2 linked regions of the Caenorhabditis elegans genome follow. The protein of the gene in region 1 purifies or fractionates together with the protein of each later gene. This does not show direct contact. Each region holds a gene or a part of one and is shown in the gene's direction. Other genes may lie near its edges.

Region 1 (5,320 bases):
ACATCCAGAAAACTATCATAAAATTATATTTTTGTATCAGTTAGTTTTTTTCAATATACTTCACACAGTTCAGAACCAGCTTAATTGTGAAATGTTTTAATGTCCTACTGCGAAAATTTTATTACTTAAAAGTTATCAAATCTCAATAACGAAAAGGTTCTACAATAATACAAACATTTAATTTTCAGAGTTCCGGAAACATTGATTCGACGCGCTCCGGAGGATCCTCGAGGACAATTTATTTTATTTTATTTTTTTCCAAAAAATGTGTTTTTTTAATTTTTTTTTTTCAAAAATGAACAATTTTAATGTTAAATTTATTTCTTGGCGTAAATAAGAGTCTCAATGAGACTCTCAGAAGAAAATTGATAAATATTATTAATGATATAATAATAATCTTGTTGATTCGTTCTATCTCCAGACGATTTTCCTCGTCTCCAGTCGATTTTGCGCTGAAAATGGGATATTTAATGGAATTGTTTTTGTTTTTATTAATAAATAGGAATAAATTTACGAAAATCACAAAATTTTCAATAAAAAACACCAAAAAAATGAGAAAAAATGAGAAAAATCGACGAAAATCGGTATAAAATCAAATAAAAATAGAAGGAAAATATTCAGCTCGTAAACCCACACGTGCGGCACGGATTCGTGGGCGGGGCGTCTCTGGCGGGAAAATTTTGCGTTTGAAAACTCACATATAGGCATCCAATGGATTTTCGGATTTTAAAAATTAATATAAAATCAGGGAAATTTTTTTAAATTTTTTCACATCGATATTCGGTATCAGGGGCAAAATTAGAGTCAGAAACATATATTTCCCCATAAACTCTACTCCCCCTTTAAAGTTTTTTTTGAAAAAAAAACAAATAAACAATTGAATTTTCTCATCTTAAAAAATGTCTAAACTCAATTTTAAAAGCAAATTTCAATTTGACATAAGTTTCAGACATTTTAAAAATCATACATTTTTTGGTCGAATTTTTTGGTTGCACCATGGCTTAGGACTAGGCTTAGGCTTAGGCTTTGACTTCGGCTCAGGTTTGAGCATAGGCTTAGTCTTAGGCTTAATCTTATGCTTGGCCTTAGGACTAGGCTTGAGCTTGGGCTTAAGGTTAGAGTTAGGGTTAGGGTTAGGCTTAGGCTTAAGCGTAAGCTTAGGATTAGGCTTAGGCCTTGAAGTCGGGCCTAGGCTTAGGCTTATCTGGAGAGGGGTGAAAACCAAAAAAAAAAGGAAAAACTACAAAAAATCTTGATAAAGGGAATTTTTCGAAGTCGGGCCAGAAAATCCCATAAATATTGGCCGAAAAAGGACCAAAAAAGACAAAAATTTTAATAATATGCCCATTATTTTTCAATTTTCCAGAAAAGTGAATTTTATCATTTTAAAAGTTATCCTCCAAAAAACCTTAAAATTGACTAAACTACGACATGCAAATAAGACGGGAAAAAATATTCCTAAAAATCAGAATTTTCACAGATTGGCGGGAATTGATTGATCATGATCAAAGCCTAAATATTTCTGCATTTCTTGGAGAATTTTTGAAGTGAGACCTTAAAAAATGTCTGATTTAGAGCAAATGAACCTAATTAACTAACTAAGAAATATAATTTTTTTCTGGAAAATGAAAAAATAAGGTTAATTTGTTATGTCGAATTGAAATTTCACGTTAAATTGATTATTGGAAAAATAAATTTGAAAACAAGAAAGGTCAGACGTGAAAAAAATGGAACATGGTTTTTCATATTGATTTGATAAAAATTTTCATAAAAATTTGATTTATTTCTTTCAATTTCTCAATGTAATACAACTATGCCTGCAAAAAAATCAAGTAAGCTATTCAAAAGTATTCAAGCTTTTTTTTTAAATTTAATTTTTATAAATTTTAAATTAAATTTAAAAATTGCAGAAGCACCCGTTGCAAAGAAGCGGCCCGCTTCTCGTGGCGGTAAGAAACCAAAAAAAGGTGGAAAAGCGAATAAAACAAAGACAAAGGCGACGAAAAGAAAAGCTCAAATGAAGAAAAAATGGACTAAAACGGCACAAAAGTAAGAGATTTTATATTATGGGAACACTAAATTTTGAGAATGCGTACAGTGCAAAATATTTGACGCGCAAAATATCTCGTAGCGAAAACTACAGTAACTCTTTAAATTACTACTGTAGCGCTTGTGTCGATTTACGGGCTCCATTTTCGAAGATATTTTCTCATTTTTTGCCAGCTTTAATATTTATTATTATCATTAATATTTTAATAAATCTTAATAAATGAACGATTTTAAAAATCGAGCCCGTAAATCAACACAAGAGCTACAGTAGTCATTTTAAGAATTGCTGTAGTTTTCGCTACGAGATATTTTGCGCGTCAAATATGTTGTGCAATACGCATGCTTATAGTTTTGTGCTTCCGTAATAACTGCTTTTTGCTACAGAAAACGGAAAGAACGAAAGAAAGCCGACAAAGCTAAGAAGAAAACAAAAAAGGATGCTGCTAAAAGAAAGAAAAAATCAAAGGATAAAAAGAAGAAGCAGAAAGGTTTTTTTTTTCAAAATTTGAACAAAATTTTACAAAAAAACAAAATTAATCTTGTTCAACTATAGGCCTAAGCCTGATCCTGATCCTGAGCCTAAGCCTAAGTCTAAGCCTAAGCCTAAGACTATGCCTAAGCTTAATACTAAGCCTAAACGCAAGCCTTAGCCTAAACCTAAAGCAAGTCCCAAGCCTAAACCCAAGCCTAAGCCTAGACCTATGCCTAAAAATTGCACATTGGTGGCGAAAAGTATATGCTTTTTTTTTGGTTTCTCGCTGATTTTTGAGTTTTTGCAAAAAAATAACACTAGGAACTCAGATTGTTGTGTACAAATTAAACCATGATTAAACATTAAACAGCGGCCGACACCTCGCGAGTCGATTATGACTCATTAGGGAACCGTCAGAAGGTGCCCATCGGACTTGCATTTGAGACCTATGCCATTCGATAGCCCATGTCTTAAAACGGTTACTCGTGAATTTTTAGCTGCGAATCTCCAGATTCAAGCTCACGGCGAGCTCTCGAAGATCCTGAAAATAGCACTGTAACGAAGAAGTTTAACGATCTAAAGAAGCAATTTCCCATTTTCTCTTTGGTAGCTCATATCTCCGCGGATAAATTTTTTACAGAAAAGTCATCAACTAAAAAGTTGTTGATATTGTTGTAAAGAACAAGTTTGTAGTTGAAAGTTTTTACCAAAAAAAGTGTTGTTTCAGATAAAATTATTAGAATAGTAGCAGTAGCAGCATTAAAATAGTAACAACAGTTGAACGCACTTCACGCGCTTCTATCTGAAACAACACTTTTTTTGGTAAAAACTTTCAACTACAAACTTGTTCTTTACAAAAAGTTCAACAACTTATTAGTTGATGACTTTTCTGTAAAAAATTTATCTGCCGAGATATGAGCTACCGAAGTGAAGTTGGAAAATTGGCCCTTCAAATCTTCGTTACAGTGCTATTTTCAGGATCTTCGAGAGCTCGCCGTGAGCTTGAATCTGGAGATTCGCAGCTAAAAATTCACGAGTAACCGTTTTAAGACATGGGCTATCGAATGACATAGGTTTCATATGCAAGTCCTATGGGCACCTTCTGACGGGCACCCTAGTCAGGAATGTGGAGTTTTTTGATAAAATTAAACAAATTTCTATTCGCGTTTTGAAATAATGATCAGTAAAGTTTTTGAAAACTTTTTTCGTTGTTCAAGTATAAAAAACATAACTACAATAGTAGTTATTTATAATTTATAATCAAAAAAAAATTTCAAAAATCATGTGTTTTCGAGTAGTGCTTGTTTGAACATATATGTATATATATAACTGGTCATTATTTCAAAAAGCGAATGCATACATGAAATATAAATTTGTTTGGGGACAATTTTTTCTACATTCTCGGGTTACTGGTTGAGTTACAGGGTCGGTGTCAAGAGAAATGTTAAAAATGCACTCACGAGGCGTCGGCCGCTTTATCTGTTGACCTAGATGATGTCGAAACATGACTTAACTTGTAGACAACAAGCTTTTCAACATTGTTTCATCTGAAAACGCAGAACATTTTCAGCACAAAAGAAAGCCGAGAAACCAAAACAACAACCAGCAAGCGAAGAAGAGGACGATGCTGGAAATGATAAAGAGGGTGGAATGAAGTTTTCTGGAATGTCATGTAAGTATGAATAAATGAACATATTTATTCAAACATTTATTTATTTATTTAATTATTTAATTATTTAATTATTTCTTCAGTGGATCAACTTCAAAACATACGGAAATCAGTTGCGGAGCTCACTAAAGACGAATTTTTGGAGTATATCAAGGTTAGAGCATATATATATGATTTCATATGAATATTTAATTTTCTTTCAGAACAACAGTGATCATCAAATCATGGAAGCTCAACACATGAGTAGTGCTGAAGGTCGAATGAAATTATTTAAGGATTCAGAACGGCCCACGTGCACATCTAGAGGCCCTTTTCAGTCGAATAGATTTGGTGCTTTGTTTTTGATTCCTGGACATCAATAAACTTTTTATTATTTAATTCATGGGTTATTATTTTATTTCTATTGAGTTAGTACAGATATTGTTGTCAGATTTGAAAACTATGATCGACAGAAAATGCTTTCAATTATCATTTTTATGAACTTGCGGGAGGCTAAGCTAAAGCCTAGGCATAAGCCTAATCCTAAGCCTAAGACTAAGCTTAAGCCTAAGCCTAATTGTAAGTTCTTAAAAATTGTTATTGTTAAAAAATTTTATAAATTTTAATTAATTGTTTCAAAATTATGTCTTTTCTATAAATTTTTATAATGTTGTAGTTTGTAGTCTACAGTCTACAAACTACAACTTTTTGTAGTTTGTAGTTTGTAGTGTCCCTGAGCCTTAATAAGAGAAACATCTGGAGGCAGGGAGGATATGGATTAAAAAGGGACACCCCGGGTGACAGCAGAGAGAGAGTAAGAGACGCAGACAGCAAAATATACATGGAAACAGATGTCACATGCACACATATTTGGTTGAGGCTCAGCTTGTTTTGTAGTTTGTAGTTTTAGCCTCAACCAATTTCCGAGTTGAATTTCAATGTTTGAATTGAAGTTTGTAGCTTTTTTTCAATTTGTTAAAGGTTTCGGCTGAGGCTCTCACATCAAATTTTGTAGTTTGTAGTCAGAACTTTATTTTTATTTTCTCTTCTCCGATAAAACGTTATAGTTTGTAGTGTGAGCCGCGACCAAAAATTCGATTTTTTTCAGGCTTTTGAACATTCAAAATGTTGCTTCCAAAAGTGTATGACGT
Region 2 (4,394 bases), on another chromosome or scaffold:
ATTTTTTCGACATTCAGAGGAACAGCAACGTTTCCGGTCTTCGGATGAATACAGAATGGGGATTTGAGCAAGTGATTTGTGCCTGTAAAATGTGCATGTTTAGTATAAAATCAACGCAGTTTCATTAAAAAATCAATTGACTAGTTAGGAAACTATTTTTTTTTCGTTCAGATATTTTTAAATTTTTCGAAATCTGTGGGGCGGGAAATTCTAAAGAAAAACTCTTTTCGAAACAAAGAACATTTTCAGTAGCGTAATTTCCCAAGATTTCGGCATGTCTCCTTAAAGGATCAAGAATTTATTAAGATAGCTAAAAAGTTAATGTTTTTGGCAGTTTCCTCATTTATTTTCTATTTTTCAACAACAAAATTCAGGAAAATGAACGAGGAAGCAGCCGCAAAAATAAAAAATACTACCACGGAGTTTTTTTTGCACGCCGAGACCCATCTGAATCAATCCGTGTGACTGCATGTCATGCATGTCAATGCATGTCAAAATCTGGTGAATTTACTATATTATTTTGAAATAAGATGATTTCTTTTTGATTTTGAAATTATTTTCTAGGTATTTAACAAAAAACTATTCACCTGTAGTTACATTTGCATCAAGACGTGGATAACATCGTTGAAGAACAAAGTAGAGAAGAACCTTTTTCGGTCGCGACCTTGCATTGTCTGAAAATTAATTTATCCATTTTCTGATTATTATCTCAAAGCTTCCACTTACAAAATCGAGAAGTCCGTCATTTTGAGAAAGCGTTTTGCGATAGTCGTTATCAAAAAGCCCACGAAGCATGTGCCAGCGTTCTTGTGGAGTTTTGAAAGACTCGGATATTCTACGCAAGTCATCTCTGCCGAATTCGGACATATACTGGTAATCTATGATAAAACGATCATTATCCAGCCATCCCTGTTCATAGATCATTTTCTCGAAAACTCCATCTTTCAATGCAACATTAAAAGCGTCACGCACAGTCGGCGGAACTCTCGTCAATTTGGCCCGACCTTCAGTCACCTCGCATTGACCATTTTTCTGTGAAAAAAAATTATTTTTTAAAAACAGACAAATCTTCTAACCTTGAATAAATTGAGTCTAGTCGCAATTGCAGACCTTTGATTGTTGTTCAGCATCCTCGCTTTCTTGTCGCCGACCCAACAATGTACTCCACGTCTACCAGAAAAGACCCACATTCGTGCTTTGAAATTGAACATTTCTTCCAGTTGGAAGTCTAAGATTCTGACAGCGAGAACCATGAATTTCCAGCATTTTGGGCAGACGGTGGCATCTCTAAAAATTAGATATTCGAAAATTGGATTACAGATCCTCTTAATAACGCACTTGCAACAATTACGAACTGGATCGTAGTCGGTCAAATCGATATCAAAAACCAATTCTCGTTCCACAGCTTGGTAATCTGTATATCTCTTGTTGTTAATTGGCTCGTGATTGTAGACAGCTCCAATATCAAGTTTTTCAGGATTAGTACTTGAAAGTGCTTTGACAAATGAGTGTTCGTCATTGTAACTACGATATCTGATATGAACATCATCTGCCAGGATGAATGTGAATTCTCGGCGGTTGAAATAGTCTCCGTAATCTGCAAAATTCAAATAACGTTAAGAAAATCGAAAGCGAAACTCACTCTGTCCGTAGCAGAGCCATTTTGTGAATGGTTTGACTGGGAAGAAGTTTTTGTAGTATATTGGCAAATCTTGTGGGAGTCTGATTGAGTTATAAGACATTTCTGAAAATTGAAAAAGTATAAATATTTGGTTCAAGCTAGAAAGTGTAAAAAATTATCAAAAACACGCACATATGGCCCGCTCTCATTATCACTCCGTCAAACTTATCACTCATTTGCATGCTTCATCACAGTGTGTGTTTTGTCGTAAGATTCAGTGTGTTGTCTGCAACACCGACCGCGCATCTTTGAATTTCACGAATCATTTTCTCATTTTTAATCAAGTTATTAATTTGCGTTTTCCTCGCTCTATTATTGTTTTTTTCCGTAAATTAGTTATTTAAAGGTAAAATGAGATCATCGTTTGTGTCTAAAAGTGCAGCTGCCATCAAAACCCAAAAACCAACAGGATCACTCAAAACAAAGGTTATTTATTTGTTGAAACCTATTTTCAGTCGACTAAAATCGAATTTTCAGCTGAACAATGGATTGAAAGTTGTTTCTCAAGAAAATAATGGAGCGATTAGTCAATTGGTGAGTCGCATTCGAGTAATAAAGCTATTTGCGATTTCCTAGATCCTCGCTTTTCGTGCTGGTTCTCGTTATGAAAAGGTCACTCAGCCTGGACTTGTGCATCACGTTCGAAACTTTGTTGGAAGAGATGCTCAATCTTATCCAGGGTTGCAGCTTGTTTGGTCATCAGCCGCCAGTGGAGCCAATTTGGTTAATTCTTTCTCTTTAAATTGCCATTTTCATTTTAATTTCAGAACTCTTTCGCTACCCGTGATATTTTCGGTGTTCAAATAAGTGTTGCTCGCGATCAAGCTGCTTACGCTCTCTCAATCCTCGGCCACGTTGCTGCCAAACCAGCTTTTAAACCATGGGAACTAGAGGATGTTACTCCAACAATTCTTGCTGATTTATCACAGAAAACTCCATATGGAATTGTGTTTGAGGATATTCATCGCGCTGCCTTCCGCAATGATTCCCTCTCGTTTTCACTGTACTCCTCCAAAGGACAAGTTGGCGCTTACAAATCCCAGGAACTTGCCAAGTTCGCTGCCAAGCATTTTGTATCCGGAAATGCCGTTCTCGTTGGAATTAATGTCGATGGGTCTATTTTGAAAAGTTATGCCGAGGAGTGTGGTGTCGTACCAGACGGGCATATCATCACCAATCAGGGGTCACCTTTCAGGGTGAGAAAAATTTAAAAAAAAATTTTATTATGTTGAATAAATATTGAATAAAAAATCATTTTAGGGTGGAGACTATCGCCGTTTCGCTCGTGGAAATGATGTTCATATAATGGTTGCTGGAGATGGAGCAGCGGTTGGAGATCTGAAATTTTTGGCTGCCCAGGCAGTTTTTCTCGCTCACATCGGACGTGCTTCTCCACTGAAATTTGCATCACTTCCAGGATCAACCAGTGGACTCGCTCTTGCGAATCTTCCGGAAGGAGTTACTGGAAGTGCATTCCAGGCACCATATGATGGAAGTGGCCTTGTTGGTGTTTATTTGCTCGCAACCGGAGCTAATGCAGATTCTGCTGTTCGAGCAACTGTCAAGGTGTTGAGAACTACTCAAGTTCAGGATATTGAAGGTATAGTCGAGATTAGCCCTTGGTTTTTAAAATAAAATATTTTTCAGGCTGCAAGCGCCGTGCTATCGCCGATATCTTGTTCAACGCTGAAAACAACGTCTACTCTGCCTACGATTTGGCGACAAACGCCCTCTACAACGGTCCAGAACAGTCGGAATTGATTGCGGAAATTCAAAAAATTCAAGAAAGTGATGTGCAGAAGTACACCAAAGCCGCGTTCGAACGTCTCGCCATCTCTGCATATGGAAATTACGGAAGAATCCCATATGCCGACGAGCTTTAATTTAAATTCGTTTTTGTCAACTTTTTGTGCTAATTTTCGTTCTCTTAAAAACATCAAATCGTTTACTACCATAGACTCAGAGTGAAGCTATGAAATGGAAAAGAGCTCAGTTTTTAGCGGGAAGATGTACAGTAAAATACAAATAGAATTGCACGAGAATGACAATAGCCAAGACAGAGAGGAGCTTGGGAACAGAAACTGAATAAGACGGGATGGGGAGAAACCGGGATGATGGACAGACAGAAGAACGACCAGAACCCAATGAGGATATTCTAGATAAAAATAATAATGTACAGAGATTGAAGGCGGCGTGGGGAGCTTTAGAGAAGAATAACTTTGATTTCAGTGATTCCTGAACAGCAACTAACACAGATTTGGGTGAAAAGTGGTTTAAATTGTATGAGAAGAAAGAAGAGGAGCGGTGCTTACCCGATAGAAAATAACAGAAATGAAAGAAAACTTTTATAGGATTCAGGACAAAGCCCTAGTACTCCATTGGAAGAGCATAATCATCAAAATCGACATTGACAAAGTCTTGAACCTCTTCATCTGCCTCAACGTCTCCTTCATCTTCTTCCTCGACATCTGACACATAACTTGGAACAAATGTTGGAGAATTCGAGGAATGTGCTAGATCGGCAGGAATTGATTTCGGATTGCGTCTGTAATAAAACATCAGATTAGTCGTCTAACACTGAAAAGTACCCACATGGGGGGAGGAAGAGCAGACGTCAAGACAGCTATCAATACTCATCGTCACCATCATCGGCAGGATCACGAGACCTCTTTTGAGGTCGGATCGCCGCTTTCCGAGCTCTACAACACTGTTT

Evidence for each region.
Region 2: the proteins of Y87G2A.20 (region 1) and ucr-2.3 fractionate together in Caenorhabditis elegans (co-fractionation; one large-scale study listed by BioGRID). This does not show direct contact.

Annotation. Positions count from the first base shown.
Region 1 is NC_003279.8:13,527,938-13,533,257, reverse strand, and holds Y87G2A.20 (F-box domain-containing protein), read left to right. Parts: upstream 1-1,795; 5' UTR 1,796-1,813; coding exon 1,814-1,832; intron 1,833-1,910; coding exon 1,911-2,049; intron 2,050-2,433; coding exon 2,434-2,537; intron 2,538-4,091; coding exon 4,092-4,193; intron 4,194-4,273; coding exon 4,274-4,344; intron 4,345-4,393; coding exon 4,394-4,552; 3' UTR 4,553-4,568; downstream 4,569-5,320. Other genes in the region: Y87G2A.25 (uncharacterized protein), read left to right, coding at 5,295-5,320.
Region 2 is NC_003281.10:877,833-882,226, forward strand, and holds ucr-2.3 (Peptidase M16 N-terminal domain-containing protein), read left to right. Parts: upstream 1-2,027; 5' UTR 2,028-2,032; coding exon 2,033-2,107; intron 2,108-2,158; coding exon 2,159-2,215; intron 2,216-2,257; coding exon 2,258-2,404; intron 2,405-2,448; coding exon 2,449-2,877; intron 2,878-2,941; coding exon 2,942-3,281; intron 3,282-3,328; coding exon 3,329-3,564; 3' UTR 3,565-3,626; downstream 3,627-4,394. Other genes in the region: T24C4.5 (DNA primase), read right to left, coding at 594-674, 727-1,032, 1,077-1,287, 1,339-1,597, 1,643-1,742; zer-1 (Zyg eleven-related protein 1), read right to left, coding at 4,049-4,226.